Linked DNA regions of Bombyx mori. The main gene of each other region encodes a partner of the protein of the gene in region 2 in a complex. Links are inferred from orthologs where the notes say so. Each region holds a gene or a part of one and is shown on either strand. Other genes may lie near its edges. The genes, in order: mitochondrial fission 1 protein and B-cell receptor-associated protein 31.

Evidence for each region.
Region 1: the proteins of B-cell receptor-associated protein 31 (region 2) and mitochondrial fission 1 protein are in contact, whole or in part, in a crystal structure (PDB 8XWX), measured with the Homo sapiens proteins. The link is inferred for Bombyx mori from reciprocal best matches to the Homo sapiens genes BCAP31 and FIS1. Residues at the interface, in NP_001132913.1 of Homo sapiens: Asp224, Leu227, Glu228, Ala231, Lys232, Ala235; in NP_057152.2 of Homo sapiens: Arg52, Val56, Glu59, Glu60, Pro63, Lys64, Lys89.

The regions. Positions count from the first base shown.
Region 1 is NC_085110.1:17,563,154-17,570,186, reverse strand, and holds mitochondrial fission 1 protein, read right to left. Parts: upstream 4,660-7,033; 5' UTR 4,479-4,659; coding exon 4,434-4,478; intron 4,348-4,433; coding exon 4,234-4,347; intron 2,636-4,233; coding exon 2,465-2,635; intron 1,653-2,464; coding exon 1,533-1,652; 3' UTR 1,519-1,532; intron 1,016-1,518; 3' UTR 852-1,015; downstream 1-851. UniProt on the Homo sapiens protein: Involved in the fragmentation of the mitochondrial network and its perinuclear clustering. Plays a minor role in the recruitment and association of the fission mediator dynamin-related protein 1 (DNM1L) to the mitochondrial surface and mitochondrial fission.
Region 2 is NC_085114.1:13,893,117-13,899,909, forward strand, and holds B-cell receptor-associated protein 31, read right to left. Parts: upstream 4,120-6,793; 5' UTR 3,671-4,119; coding exon 2,996-3,670; 3' UTR 2,098-2,995; downstream 1-2,097. Other genes in the region: dynactin subunit 2, read left to right, coding at 5,596-5,631, 5,701-5,903, 5,998-6,133. UniProt on the Homo sapiens protein: Functions as a chaperone protein. Is one of the most abundant endoplasmic reticulum (ER) proteins.

The DNA.
Region 1 (7,033 bases), on a different chromosome or scaffold from region 2:
TGGGCCTTAGCCTGGTCCAGTATGTCTCTCCAGACTGCTCTGTTCAGGGCTTTCTCCTTCCAGTTCTTGACGCCGATATTTTTGAGGTCGCGCTCCACGCCATCCAACCATCGAAGTTTGGGTCTGCCACGACTTCTGCGGCCCTCTGGTTTGCCATAGAGCAATTGTCTTGGCATTCTGGTACTCTCCATTCGAACCACATGTCCTGCCCATCGTAGGCGTCCAATCTTTATAGTTGTTATGATGTTAGGATCTTTGTAAACATCATACAACTCGTGGTTATAGCGCGTCCTCCATATCTGGTTTTCCCGCACAGCACCGAATATCCGTCTTAGAATCTTACGCTCGAACACAAGTAGACGGTTCTCATCTTTTTTGCTGAGTACCCATGTCTCTGAGCCATAAATAAGAATGGGTCTCAGTAGGGTCTTGTATAAAAGAATTTTGATATTTCGTGACAGAATTTTGGAACAGAAATATTTAAGCAGGCCGAAGTAGCATTTATTCGCCGACAGTATTCTCTTAACTATTTCTGCTGTTATATTATTATTATTCGTTATCAGAGAACCAAGATATACAAATTCATTCACAGATCCAAAAGTATGCTGGCCAATATTTTTATGCGCTGTGTCCTCACGTAAGTCTCTCGACAATTGATTATTGAGTGTGGTAAAATATGGAAACGATGGAACCAAAACAAAAAAATATAAATTTATTCTAATGGAATCGTTTTGTTGCTTATAACATTACTAATTACATTGTACCTAAATCTAGAAAAAATAATATCACATATTTCATTCGAACTATAAACTCAACACTCTTTAGATACCTGAACTATCAAACTAGAAGCATTTTTAGATGTTTATTATTTTATTAATTTAATAGACAAAAACAAAATAACATACATTGCACAGCGAGATATAGGATGATTTCTAATTAAATTCATATGAAGTTTTAGTCCTCTTTGATTTGCTTCCTCTTAAAGAGATAATGAACACCTAGAGCAGCATTCATTCTGTAAATAATATAAATCGATTTAAATAAAAAATATCAAAACATTACAATTACATGGGTCGTCATAGCTGGAGATACACAACATTCTAGCTGCCTAAAGCTGTGAATACACTAGGCAAAGTAGGCAAGGGTCTACTTTGCCTAGTGTTGTATACAACACATGTTCTAGTGTTGTATACAATTGAAACTTTAACCACATGTCACAGTGAGTGGCAGTATTTATGTTGTGGCGTCTCTGGGAACCACAGAATACAATATGTGCTGTGAACTTGGATGCCCATCTACAGAAATACCAAAAAGTTGCCAAAAATTCCAATAGCGTTGAATGTAGAATTTGTGTTTAGTACAAATACATAATTTGATTAATTGTACCTAGAACATTAGATATGATTTGTTAAATAAATAAAGAGATAAGCTCACGATTAAATATTATTAAAGTCTCAACCTTAAATTTTTAATAGGCAATATTTACTCTCACACATTTAAGTTGTCCAAACTACTCACAGCAAGGCTAAATGCTATTTCTTTGAAGCAAGTGCGATTCCAAGTCCCACGAGCCCTCCAAGGGCAAGGACAGCTCCTCCTGCCACCGCCATTCCAATTAAACCTTCTTTTTCCATACGTTTATTGATTTGACGCTAGAATGAATAAAATATTTTTTTCAAAATTTAATAGTTTTTTTTTATTGCTGATTGGTTATGAACAAGTAGCATTTAATAACTATGGTTAATGGAATGATGAGTGGTGAGTGGACCGCCAGAAGAGCACTTAGGATAACTAGAAATACCTAAATAGTAGAAGCTTGAGGTGAGGGCTTAATGCGTAGCTGGAGAGAAATTTACTACATTAACTTTTACCAAATTTCTTTTTCAATTTTTTTTCTTTGTCAAAAAAGGTTCACTACTCACTATTTCTTGAACCAGTATTAAGGGCTTATATACGATTATATATTATTTATTGTGATATATTTTGCTTTAAGACAATAGTTCTACAGAACTGCTGTGGGACAGTATTTATGGTTGTTGGTGTATCCCCTCCCAACCCAGTAGGCCAGTTTTGGTTTAACAGGATATTCCGTGTCATCAGCGGCTCTGAGCGGGGCCGACGTAAAGTTGTCGGCTGTCGCCTCGGCAACCTTTCGGTCAGACGTCCTAAGGGTGGCCTGGCCATTCTTGTATTGTTCATCACTAGTACCTCCCTATTCTGACTGGGTCTGACTCCAGGCGGAGATCAAACGAGGGGTGAAATATGCTAGGGGACTCGTTTGGCCCTACCACAATCTCATATGAAGTTCAGCGGACAGCCCAAAAAAAAACACATATACATACTCATATCTTCAGACTTATTGCCAAACTGACTAATGTCATTATTTATCTTCAAATGTAAGATTTCTCATGTATCTACTCTACTATTCTGCCATTCGAACTTATGTTATTATAGCTGATCTTACCTCTAATGCCAATACTTGCTGATTAGCGGGTTCAATCTCGAGGAATGATTTCACATAATGCAAAGCCTTATTGTACTCCTTTATTCTGGCATTACCAATGGCAAGGTAGAAAAGGTAGTCACGTTTGCCTTCAGGATGAGAGTTGAACAATTCTTTAAGAAGTAAGATTCCCTGTAAAGTATACTCATCTTAGAACTTCTGAAGACTTGAAATGTTTAAGCGTGCTTTGTAGTTCCAGCTGTCAAGTAAATTATACATTCTTTTCTGCTTTTACTTGATGCTTAAAAGATTAAAACTTAAGACAAAACAATAAAAAAATTAATGATTTGAATTCATTATCTTATTAACAAAAGTCCGAAAGGAGGTAATTGTTTTCTTAAATGTTTTCCCTAATCATTGGTAGCCCAAGGGGCTATTCCAACTATGCTCAGACTGGTAAATATATATCATAATGTAAACTTTGCCATCCTGACTTTAAGATAAGTCTCAATTATTTTGTGTAAGGGTTGTCTCACCTTTCAAACCAGAAAACATGACTATTATGTGGCAGTAATAGACAAAATAGTGTTGACTACCAGTGTGAACATTAATTATACACAGTATTCCCTGTTACCAGTAGTTATTAAGCAAGTTGTGGAATAATAATTGGTTTTTAGTTAAATATGTAATATAATTTCTTTGCCTTGGAAGTCAGTCCTTAAAAAACTTGCACATGCCTATGAGACTTTAACACTAAAATTGTAACATCCCTTGAAACATGTACACTGCAGACTCATCCTTTAAGCCATGATGAGTTCCATTTATTTTTAATTATCAATCTCATGTGTCCATTGGAATACACATTCAAAATAATAAAAACACTTAACTAACAGGAAATGAAATGAATGGTTTAAAAATATCAGAAACAACAATCGTTTCTTCTAATGTAGTGATATTCAGTGCTATAGTCGGATTTTTAATTAGACGAAGCTAGCTGACAGTAGCTAATGTCACTTTGTGAAATAATGTTGCTATATTTAAAGTAATAGTGATGCGTTCAGTTCTCGTTCAATCACAAATGAACAATGAGTGTGAAGAGTTAATCATTAATTTCAAACTATAAAAGAGTATTATTTATATTTTACAATAAAATTGTATTAAAGTGCTCCAATATATGTTGCTAATAGTATGTAACTACAATCAGCTTTTTTTATTTTCATTACCTACCTATAATTGTTATATTTTATACATCTATAATTTCAACTACATGATGTATTGGAAATATGACAGTCTTACAAGCTTCCTCGCAGTGTTTTTCTTAATTAAAACACTCGGTATTCAGTACAGGTAGATACTATAGGAACATAATATTTCGTCGAAAACTCGTTGGTATGTACAAAGCACGCCTAAAATTCGAAACCCGTACCCGATATCGGCAATTCGGCACACCAACTGTTCACTAGACAATCGAGGCAATTTTATTAATTCAGGAGTTTTTTCAATCGTTCACTTTGTCACAACATTATTTTTATTTCATCAAAAACTGACAACACAGTAAACGTCAGTTGACTTCGTCTAATAAAAAATCCGACTATAGTATTCTATATTAAGTATATTTGTATTAAATATTTAGATATCTTAATGTTTAAATATATAAATATGGCTTTGTTTAGCAAATTTGGCAAAAACAAGTCAAGTTGATGATATGCATAATATTCTGACATACCACTGTAATGAGATCTGTAAAATTGACGTCAGTTTTTATACTATGTATTTGTAAATAAATGTACCTTTCGTATATCCGTTGGATACTTGCTGCGCACTAAACACCATGCGTATTCAAACTGGGCTTTGTGGGAAACGTTCCCTTGATGCAATTGTTCATGAAAGACCCTCTCGAATTTCTACAAAAAAAAAAACAAACAAAGATTTATGAACAATTGTAAATTTATTTGTGAGTCACTATCAACAACAAAGTTTTAATCGTTACTTGCAAATCTTCCGATGAAACAATCTCGTCTAATACGTCTTCCATTGTAGCCGGTTACTATAAATGATAACTTTGATTAGATATTTAACGTTTACAAAAAGAAAAATAGGTGTACCGTGTAAGGTTTATTACGAGAAATTGGTAGATTTGCAATGCAGAATAAATGGAATTATGGATTGTTTGACAATTTTGACATTGAATGTTTGACATCGTTCATGATGATTCAGTGGCACTTAAGTTTTTCCAGGTTAAGAAAGGCAAAAACATCCGACCACACAGTATATTTCGAAATAATTTAGGTACTGAAAAAGTTAGAAAGTACATTTACTTAGTATTATAAAAAAGACCTAGTAACAAAGCCAAAGGGATTAAAAGTCTTTATAGAAAAGACTAAAGTCATATCTCGCTACAATTTTTCAAGCAAATGATTTTTTTTCTCTATTTATTCGTTGGTAGCTTAAGAAGCTATTCCCGACGGCTAGGTAAGCTCACAAACTCGACCTGAAAGAATTTGCTACCACTAGTCCTACTAGAGTAGGCTTCGCATAATCTACTTGCGTGTGGCACCGTTTTGTTGAATAACGCTCTGACCTTCTGACGCTTCCATAAGATATTTACGAATCGGTACTAAATTTAGATCGTCGTGAAGATTTACATTCCTCACATACCACGACGCTCTGACGGCTATCCTGCAGAAACAAGATTGGATGACCTGGAGAGAGTTAACGTGTGTACGGGCCGCATGACATGACATGAGCGAAAACCTAACGATACGAATACCACAGGCAACACACGCATAGGTACAATGTTCGAGATCCCTGCAGCAAAAGTGTCACTGCTTAAACTGAATTAAAATTACAGACAGAGATTAAGTTTAAAACATAGAGTTACTATACTTATTAACTCCATGGTTTAAAATCTATGGTACATACGGTAACCATAGATTATACACTTAATATATTCGAGAACGGTAACCACCGAACGAGAAAACACTTGAACAAAGAATTAAATCAAATCAAATTGAATTGTCAAATTTGGTCAAATTGATAAGTTCTTTTGTGGGCCGGCAATTGCTAGGTATACGTAGTAGATAGTGTAAAAGACAGCTCATAGTTTTTTTAACAACCCATAATCCTATTAGGGACATCACAATGCAAAGTGTAATAAACACAGTAAAGGGAACTGCTCTTGGCGTGGCCGGTTACTTGACACCGGTGTTGAAGGTACGTTTATCACGATCATTATTAATTACATACATATTGAAATTACTCATTATATATATGAATCGGTGACTGACCGAACATATTGATAATCTTTTTACCCTGTAAAAATAAATATTTATTTCTATGCTTCATATTTATTTAAAATGTAATATTCTGTAGTGAGTGTCTCACAATTTGAACGGTAATTCCAGAATATGGGGATTTGAGGATCATTTGCAAGTCAATTAGGTTACTAAGAAATTTGAAAACAAACCAAAGGCTTATTTATATTAACTTCACTTATTTCTAGGAATCGAAATTTCAAGAAACTGGTGTACTGACTCCTGAAGAGTTTGTAGCTGCTGGTGACCACCTGGTACACCACTGCCCTACCTGGCAGTGGGCAAAGGGAGAGGAAGCTAAGATTAGGCCTTACCTTCCTGCAGACAAACAATTCCTTATAACTCGAAATGTGCCATGCTACAGACGATGTAAACAAGTAAGCTAAAACAATTTTTGTAAGTTACAATAGATATCACGGCTTCTTCAGTTTTTATGACAACCTCCGCAAGAAGTTGTCATTTTGCAATAGCTATTTCAAAATTTTTGTAGTTATTGTGGGTGACTCACATGTATTTATTTATTTTATAATATTTTATTATAATTACACTACACAACAACACATACATACTTACTTTATTTTATATCAACACATTCATTTATCACACAATCATACAAAACATTATTTACACTAAACAAAATTAAATCCACAACTAAAGTCGGGCGATAACTGCAGTATAGCGGCGACGATAATATTTCGCTAGTACATCGGTGCATAGACGAACCGGTCGTTGCATTTTTACCGATCCACCGCCACCAGTCGAAATCTGATATGCGAGCATGCATCCCGTGTTATTCTTTCTGTACTACGCCTTTTAATTATTACTTTTTGTTTCGTGTACCGCTTGTGTTGCTTGGACTATCTATTTCTTGTTACTTTCACCTTCTTTGTATATTTTGTGTTCGTCTTAAATAAAAACTTTCTTTGTGTCCATTTGTATTTGGAAAGACATTATAATTACAACCATCGCCCAAGATGACTAAAGTTATCATAGTCAAGCACAACTGAAGTGTTGAATTGTGTTTATTTAATTTGAAATTTCTTTGTCTAATGACTAATGTCTTTCTAACACTTTGTAAAATAATTTTTTACTTTTACACATGTGTAAACACAAAACTATCTGGATAAAGTAATAATCTAGAGCATGATCTTGTGATGCCTAGACCTTTTTTGTTTTATATAAGCTGAAAGTTTCTCTGTGGATGTCTCCACACGGCTGAGAACAAGTACTTACTAAGGAGTTTTGATTATGGTTACTTGAGCTTGTAACAGGCAGT
Region 2 (6,793 bases):
GAAACGCGACCCACTGAGAAGATCCGGCGAGAAACTCAGTGGGCTGTGTCTGAGAGTTAGTTTACTCGTCGAGCCCTTCGTCGCAAGCGACGGGTTCGACGAGAACGGTGACCTGTGCTTGAAGTACCTAAAAGCACCGTTAGTGGATCGGGAGGATCCAAGATGACGTGTTTTGGGCGACGTCCACGGCGGCCACGATGAGAGGGTTCTCGTGTCGTGCCGCTTTATCGAAGTGGACGGACTCACAAGAGGTCATACCACCATTATCAAATTGTGAATGACATGAATTAGACACCCTTTGACGCGTATAAAAGACCTTGTCTAATTTAAATTCTGCCCCAGTACTCCTGCGCACTCCAACAGCACACCTCAGAGCTGATATTGCATCATATAATTTTTAACCTCTTACTAATCAATATCGAGCTACCTACGTCATTCAGTGAATAGTTATTGTCTGATGAGTCACTCGTTACGAGATATTTTCGTACGAATTCAAAGAAACGCTTCCACCTGCAAATGCACCTACGTGGCTTTTTCGGATACGTCGCGCAATGTCGGATACAATATGAGAATCAACTATTTTTTGTTACTTTTTCGTAATGTAGGTAGAATCATTTTTGAAAAAAAAACATCATAATCGATTTTCGAAGAACCACGAAAGTAGGTTGTCATAATAAACATAACTTTTAATTTAATTGACAAACAATGAACATAGGTATCTAATTTTAACAGACAGCTATGTATTATGACTGAAGCGATTCATCACTTTATACAAGTGACCTCTATTTTCGCGCGAAATGCAAAATTACATTGTTGTTATTTAACCGGTATATTCATAGATGAAAATAACGAAGATGACGTGCATTGAAAGACCATAAATGAGAGGCTATATTTTGTTGTTCAGCATTTACCAAAGTCCATAAATAGTGTTAACTAGCTGTGCCCACGACTTCGTCCGCGTGGAATTTAACAAAACATTACTTTATTTTTTAATAATTTTAGTTACTCCTTATTACATCAGCCATCTGCCACTGAAAATCTCATCAAAATCAGTTCAGCTGTTCCAGAGATTAGCCGGAATAACAGACGGATAGACAGACAGATAAAAATATTTTTTAATAATTTTAGTTACCTAAGTACTCCTTATTACATCAGCCATCTGCCACTGAAAATCTCATCAAAATCAGTTCAGCTGTTCCAGAGATTAGTCGGAGCAACAGACGGATAGACAGACAGACAAAAATATTTTTTAATAATTTTAGTTATTCCCTATTATATCAGCCATCTGCCACTGAAAATCTCATCAAAATCAGTTCAGCTGTTCCAGAGATTAGCCGAAACAACAGACGGATAGACAGACAGACAAAAAATTTTTTTTATAATTTTAGATATATCAGCCATCTGCCACTGAAAATCTCATCAAAATCAGTTCAGCTGTTCCAGAGATTAGCCGGAACAACAGACGGATAGACAGACAGACGAAAATTGTAAAAAAAAATTTTTGGTATATGTACCGTATTTACATTCATGAATATGCATGTAGCTAAAAGCGGTTATTTTAATATTTGTAATATATTGTATTAGACACTTCAATTTTATTTATTTGTATAGTTAAAGTATCTAAGTAATTAAAATTGCTCGAACCCTTAAATATCGTGTTTTTAATTGTCATTACATATATTGCAGTTTCATTATGTATATTTTATTATTAACTTACAATTTTACATTACGGACATTTTATTTTACAAACCGACACCGGAGCGAAAACCGAAGAAAATGTTCAAGTATAAATCTACAATTTAAAGTTGCCAAATGCATTTTTCTTTGGTTAGCCTTTTTTACTGCATATGGAGCTCACGGCTCACCTGGTTTTCAATGGCTACTGCTCCATAGACACCCAACAATGTAAATACCACCTATCTTGAGACAAGTCCCAGATTTATAGTACAAAAGCTTTCCCAAACCAAAATGTATTAATTACTACTTCACTCTATCACTGCGGCCTACAAATCGTAATAAAAGTTTTGAGGTAAACAAATTAATATGGGAGGTAGATGGAAGTTTTTCGAACATTTTGAAGAAATATAATAAATGCAGTTTTTCAAAAAAGTATTTTATTTAATCAAACCAGCATATAAACAATTCAAGACTTTTTTAATAAGCAGTCCTATTCCAAAGTTATTCGTGCCTTTTTTACATTACAATTAAGAACAAACAATTACTGTTCCGAAAAGAAAAAAAACTCAGGCTTGAATAACAGAACTCAACTTCCTATTGAGAAGTTGTGTGGTTAATAAGAATCTGAAAATGATTTGGATGAAAATTGTGCTACAGTTTTCAAATTCATCTAAATTGAAAGTGAGAATTAATCACAAATGCAATATCTTTAAACATTATTATTCTACAAAAGATTGGTGTTCACTTTCAATTAAAAACATGTATTCATTTTCATTTCCAATAAAAATACTAGTAAATTATAAAAATCTGATTATTCCTAATTGACAAAACACAATTTAAGGAATATTAAATTAGATCCACTCTTACAATTCACATTTTTCATACACAAATCCATGTTTGACACCAAAAACCCTAAAAGTTAAGAAACAACAGCTTAAAATAAAAATTATAATAAAAAATTAAAAAAGCTAACAATAATATATTTTAAGGCTTAACCTATTTACTTTTGAAATTTTAAGGATTTCTAAATATAAAATTTAAGCAATATAACAATGTTGAAATTTTGATTTTCTTTTTAATGAACTACGAACATGAAAATTTGTTAATTTATTTTTCATTTCATTATCAGTAATGTTTGTGGTTAAGCTGATTCCAAAGTCCAGATGTGTAATGCAACTTTCTGAAAACATTTAAATAGCAAGTGACAAACTATTATTAATATACTTTTAAAATAGATCAACACAGTAATACTAGAAGCAGCATAGACAACATTTAGTTTCATCAAAATCAGACTCATACATTCTGTAATGTCTAATATTTACTCATCTTTCTTAGAATCACCTTCACCAGAAACTGTTAGCTTTTTCTGTAGCTTGCTGTGCTCTTCAGCGAGTCTATCATACTCTTTATTCAAACCTTCAGCTTGTGATTTTACAGCTTCTTTGTCTTTCTTCTCTTTTGAAAGTTCCTTTTCCAAATTCAAAATTTGGGTCCTCAGATCTTCTATTTCTTTCTTGCTTTGTTCCTCGCCAGTGCCTTGCTTCTCTAACAAAGTTCTAGCAGTAGTGGTAGCACTCTGAGCTTGGCGGAAGTTTGCCTCAGACTGAGCTAACAATGTAGCCAGTTGTGAAATCATTTGAACCAAACGACGGATGACGACAAGGAGGAAAAGTGCAAAGCCAGATATGTAGAAGTTTCTCTGTGCACGAAACAATCTCATGTTACCTTGCATTTCGGCGTCGAGATGCTGGTGGTCTGACGGTTCAATATTTGAATATTTTTGCATCTCACGAATTGCATCTAGCAGACATAATACTAGCACGCCAATGAGAATCAGAAAATAAATAGATGCCTGCCCGCTTATGTAAGCTAGAAATTTCGATTTGAAGAACTTCTGCCATCTGCTCGGACTGGCTATCGGCAAAGTTAAAAGGAGGACGACTGCGATCTCGGTATAGAGAAACGTCGCGATAATTGTCCATTGCAGACTCATGATTTCACTATTTCTTTAACACCGTTATTAGCTATACAATGCAGCAAACGATAGTGGAAGAACAACAAACTATGACGAAATTCTTAGGCCAAGAGTGACGATAGATTTAAAAATTGAAAAAAAAAACTTCTATGTATGACTCAGACTGTGACGGACGGTCGACTTTGGATCTCACAGACTACTTCACTATACTTTAAGCACAGATAAAAACTAAAATCAAAATAATACATCAGTTCTTTTTATATCAAAGCACGCTTACGTGTTAAATTGTATAGATAAAGCAAACTAAAGAGTAAACTAATATAAGAAAAATTTGATATGTGTAACCAGAAAAGTGTGCTAATAATTGAAACTAGGTAGTGAAAATTTTTTAATATTAATGTTCTATAGTTTTCCATTTATTTTGTAATTTAATGAAAAAATATCCTAGACTCGTTGTATGCACCTTATTACCTATCTGCCTACTAATTCTGAAACATTGAAGTCGTCGTGGCTTAAAAGATAAGACGTCCGGTGCATTCGTGTTGAAGCGATGCACCGGTGTTCGAATCCCACAGGCGGGTACCAATTTTTCTAATGAAATACGTACTCAACAAATGTTCACGATTGACTTCCACGGTGAAGGAATAACATCGTGTAAAAAATCCACTTCGTTAAAGCGGCACGACACGAGAACCAACACGTCATCTCGGATCCTCCCGATCCACTAACGGTGCTTTTAGGTACTTCAAGCACCGGTCACCGTTCTGGTCGAACCCGTCGCTTGCGACGAAGGGCTCGACGAGTAAATTAACTCTCAGACACAGCCCACTGAGTTTCTCGCCGGATCTTCTCAGCGGGTCGCGTTTCCGATCCGGTGGTAGATTCTGCGAAGCACGGCTCTTGCTAGGGTTCGTGCTAGCATCGTCGTCAGGTCCACTTCGCTAAAGCGGCACGACACGAGAACCCTCTCATCGTGGCCGCCGGTAACTACATTCCCGATCCTGCGGACAGAATGGAAAGCAGTCGACGTCGCCCAAAACACGTCATATCGGATCCTCCCGATCCACTAACGGTGCTTCTAGGTACTTCAAGCACCGGTCACCGTTCTGGTCGAACCCGTCGCTTGCGACGAAGGGCTCGACGAGTTAATTAACTCCCAGACACAGCCCACTGAGTTTCTCGCCGGATCTTCTCAGTGGGTCGCGTTTCCGATCCGGTGGTAGATTCTGCGAAGCACGGCTCTTGCTAGGGTTCGTGTTAGCAACGTCATCAGGTTTGAGCCCCGTGAGCTCACCTACAAACGTTAGGGTTACGCTGAAATAGCCTGTCAAGGCTATCAGCTTAGGTAGGAAAAAAAAAAGTGTAATAAAAATCAAACCCGCAAAAATTATAATTTGCGTAATTACTGGTGGTAGAACCTCTTGTGAGTCTGCGCGGGTAGGTACCACCACCCTGCCTATATCTGCCGTGAAGCAGTAATGCGTTTCGGTTTGAAGGGTGGGGCAGCCGTTGTAACTATACTTGAGGCCTTAGAACTTATATCTCAAGGTAGGTGGTGCATTTACGTTGTAGATGTCTATGGGCTCCAGTAACCACTTAACACCAGATGGGCTGTGAGCTCGTCCACCCATCTAAGCAATAAAAAAAAACTGAAGCTATAATTTGCCATTTAAGTAAATTAAATAAGTATATTAGCACGTATGGGTTGATTTAAATTTCACCCATAACAAGCTCATAAAATATCACAATTATTTTATTTTATTTTACAGATCAAAACAAGAAAGGCTTCAAGGCTCTATGTTCGATTCATAGGCTATACACATTTTTTTCATTCGATTGACGTGACATCACAGACCAACAAAATTTCTGATTCATATTACGGAACATTTATTTATTTATTCTCAAACTAGTGCTTATATTTTTTCAACATTACAATATATAAAATGGCTGATCCTAAATATGAAAATCTACCCGGCATTGTAAGTATACTCAATAGGAATATATTGTACACGTCGGAGATTAAATGTATAACAAGAACTTTCTTGTAGGCCTATGACCAACGCGATGTTTATGAAACTGATGATCTTCCGGAAGCCGATCAGCCGGAGCCTTATGAGGAGGAGGAGAACGAGTGTATCGAACAATTGCACTTATCGGTCAAGGATTCTTTCAATAAATTCAAAGGGAAGTTCCTTACTGGCCCTGTAGATTTTTCAGATAAATTGAGCAGAAAATCTCGAATTGGTTACAGGTGGGTTTTCATTACAATTAAATCAAACTCAATTTTTTATTATTAATCAAAGTAGGCTTATCTATACACACCAGATTTATTTTTAATTATTTAGAGTTGGTGAATGGGAGCTAGCAGCTGAAGGTGACCCGGAGACTCCACTACAAAGATACAATAGACTTAGATGTGAGTTTTCTGAACTCCTCGAAGATGTCACTGACCAACAAAACAAAGCTGGCGATAGTGAAAAGGTAAAATTATCATCATACTAGCAACCTAGAAAGTTTATAGTTATTTTGTTTTGACTGTCCAATCGTAACATTAAACAAACTACTACTTAATGAAGTCGTAGCAAGCAAGCACTAAAATATCAGGAACAGTGGAATGTAAAAATCATTGTAAGAACCTGTTAAATCTATTTATACAAGATAGCTGCAAAAGCTGAAAACAATTTGTAAATTCTAAAATAAATGCAATCCTATATTTAGTCAGTTCAAGAATACATATTTTGTTCTGTTCTTACTTGACTGGGATAATTGTCTCAATATTTTAATTTATTATATCATCAGAAAGTGAAAACAGTATGTAGGGTTGTAAGTATGTTCTACTATAAAGTGTAAACATAATATTAAACAAATTACAAAGACAGCCATGTCATTCTAGATGAGAACAGTCATTGACGATTGAAACTTTAAAGGGAGCATACATTACTCAAATACATGAGTTTTCAATATGAACAAGCATTAGTTTAAATTTAAAAAACTAAAATACTTTTTGCGGCCATTGCAAGAAGCAGTTTTGTTTTTTATTGAGTTTGTTGATTAAACACACAACCTAAAAAAATGTCCAACTAATTCAAATTTTTCATACAAAATGTCTTGAGTTTGCCATCCTTATTAAACATTAATAAA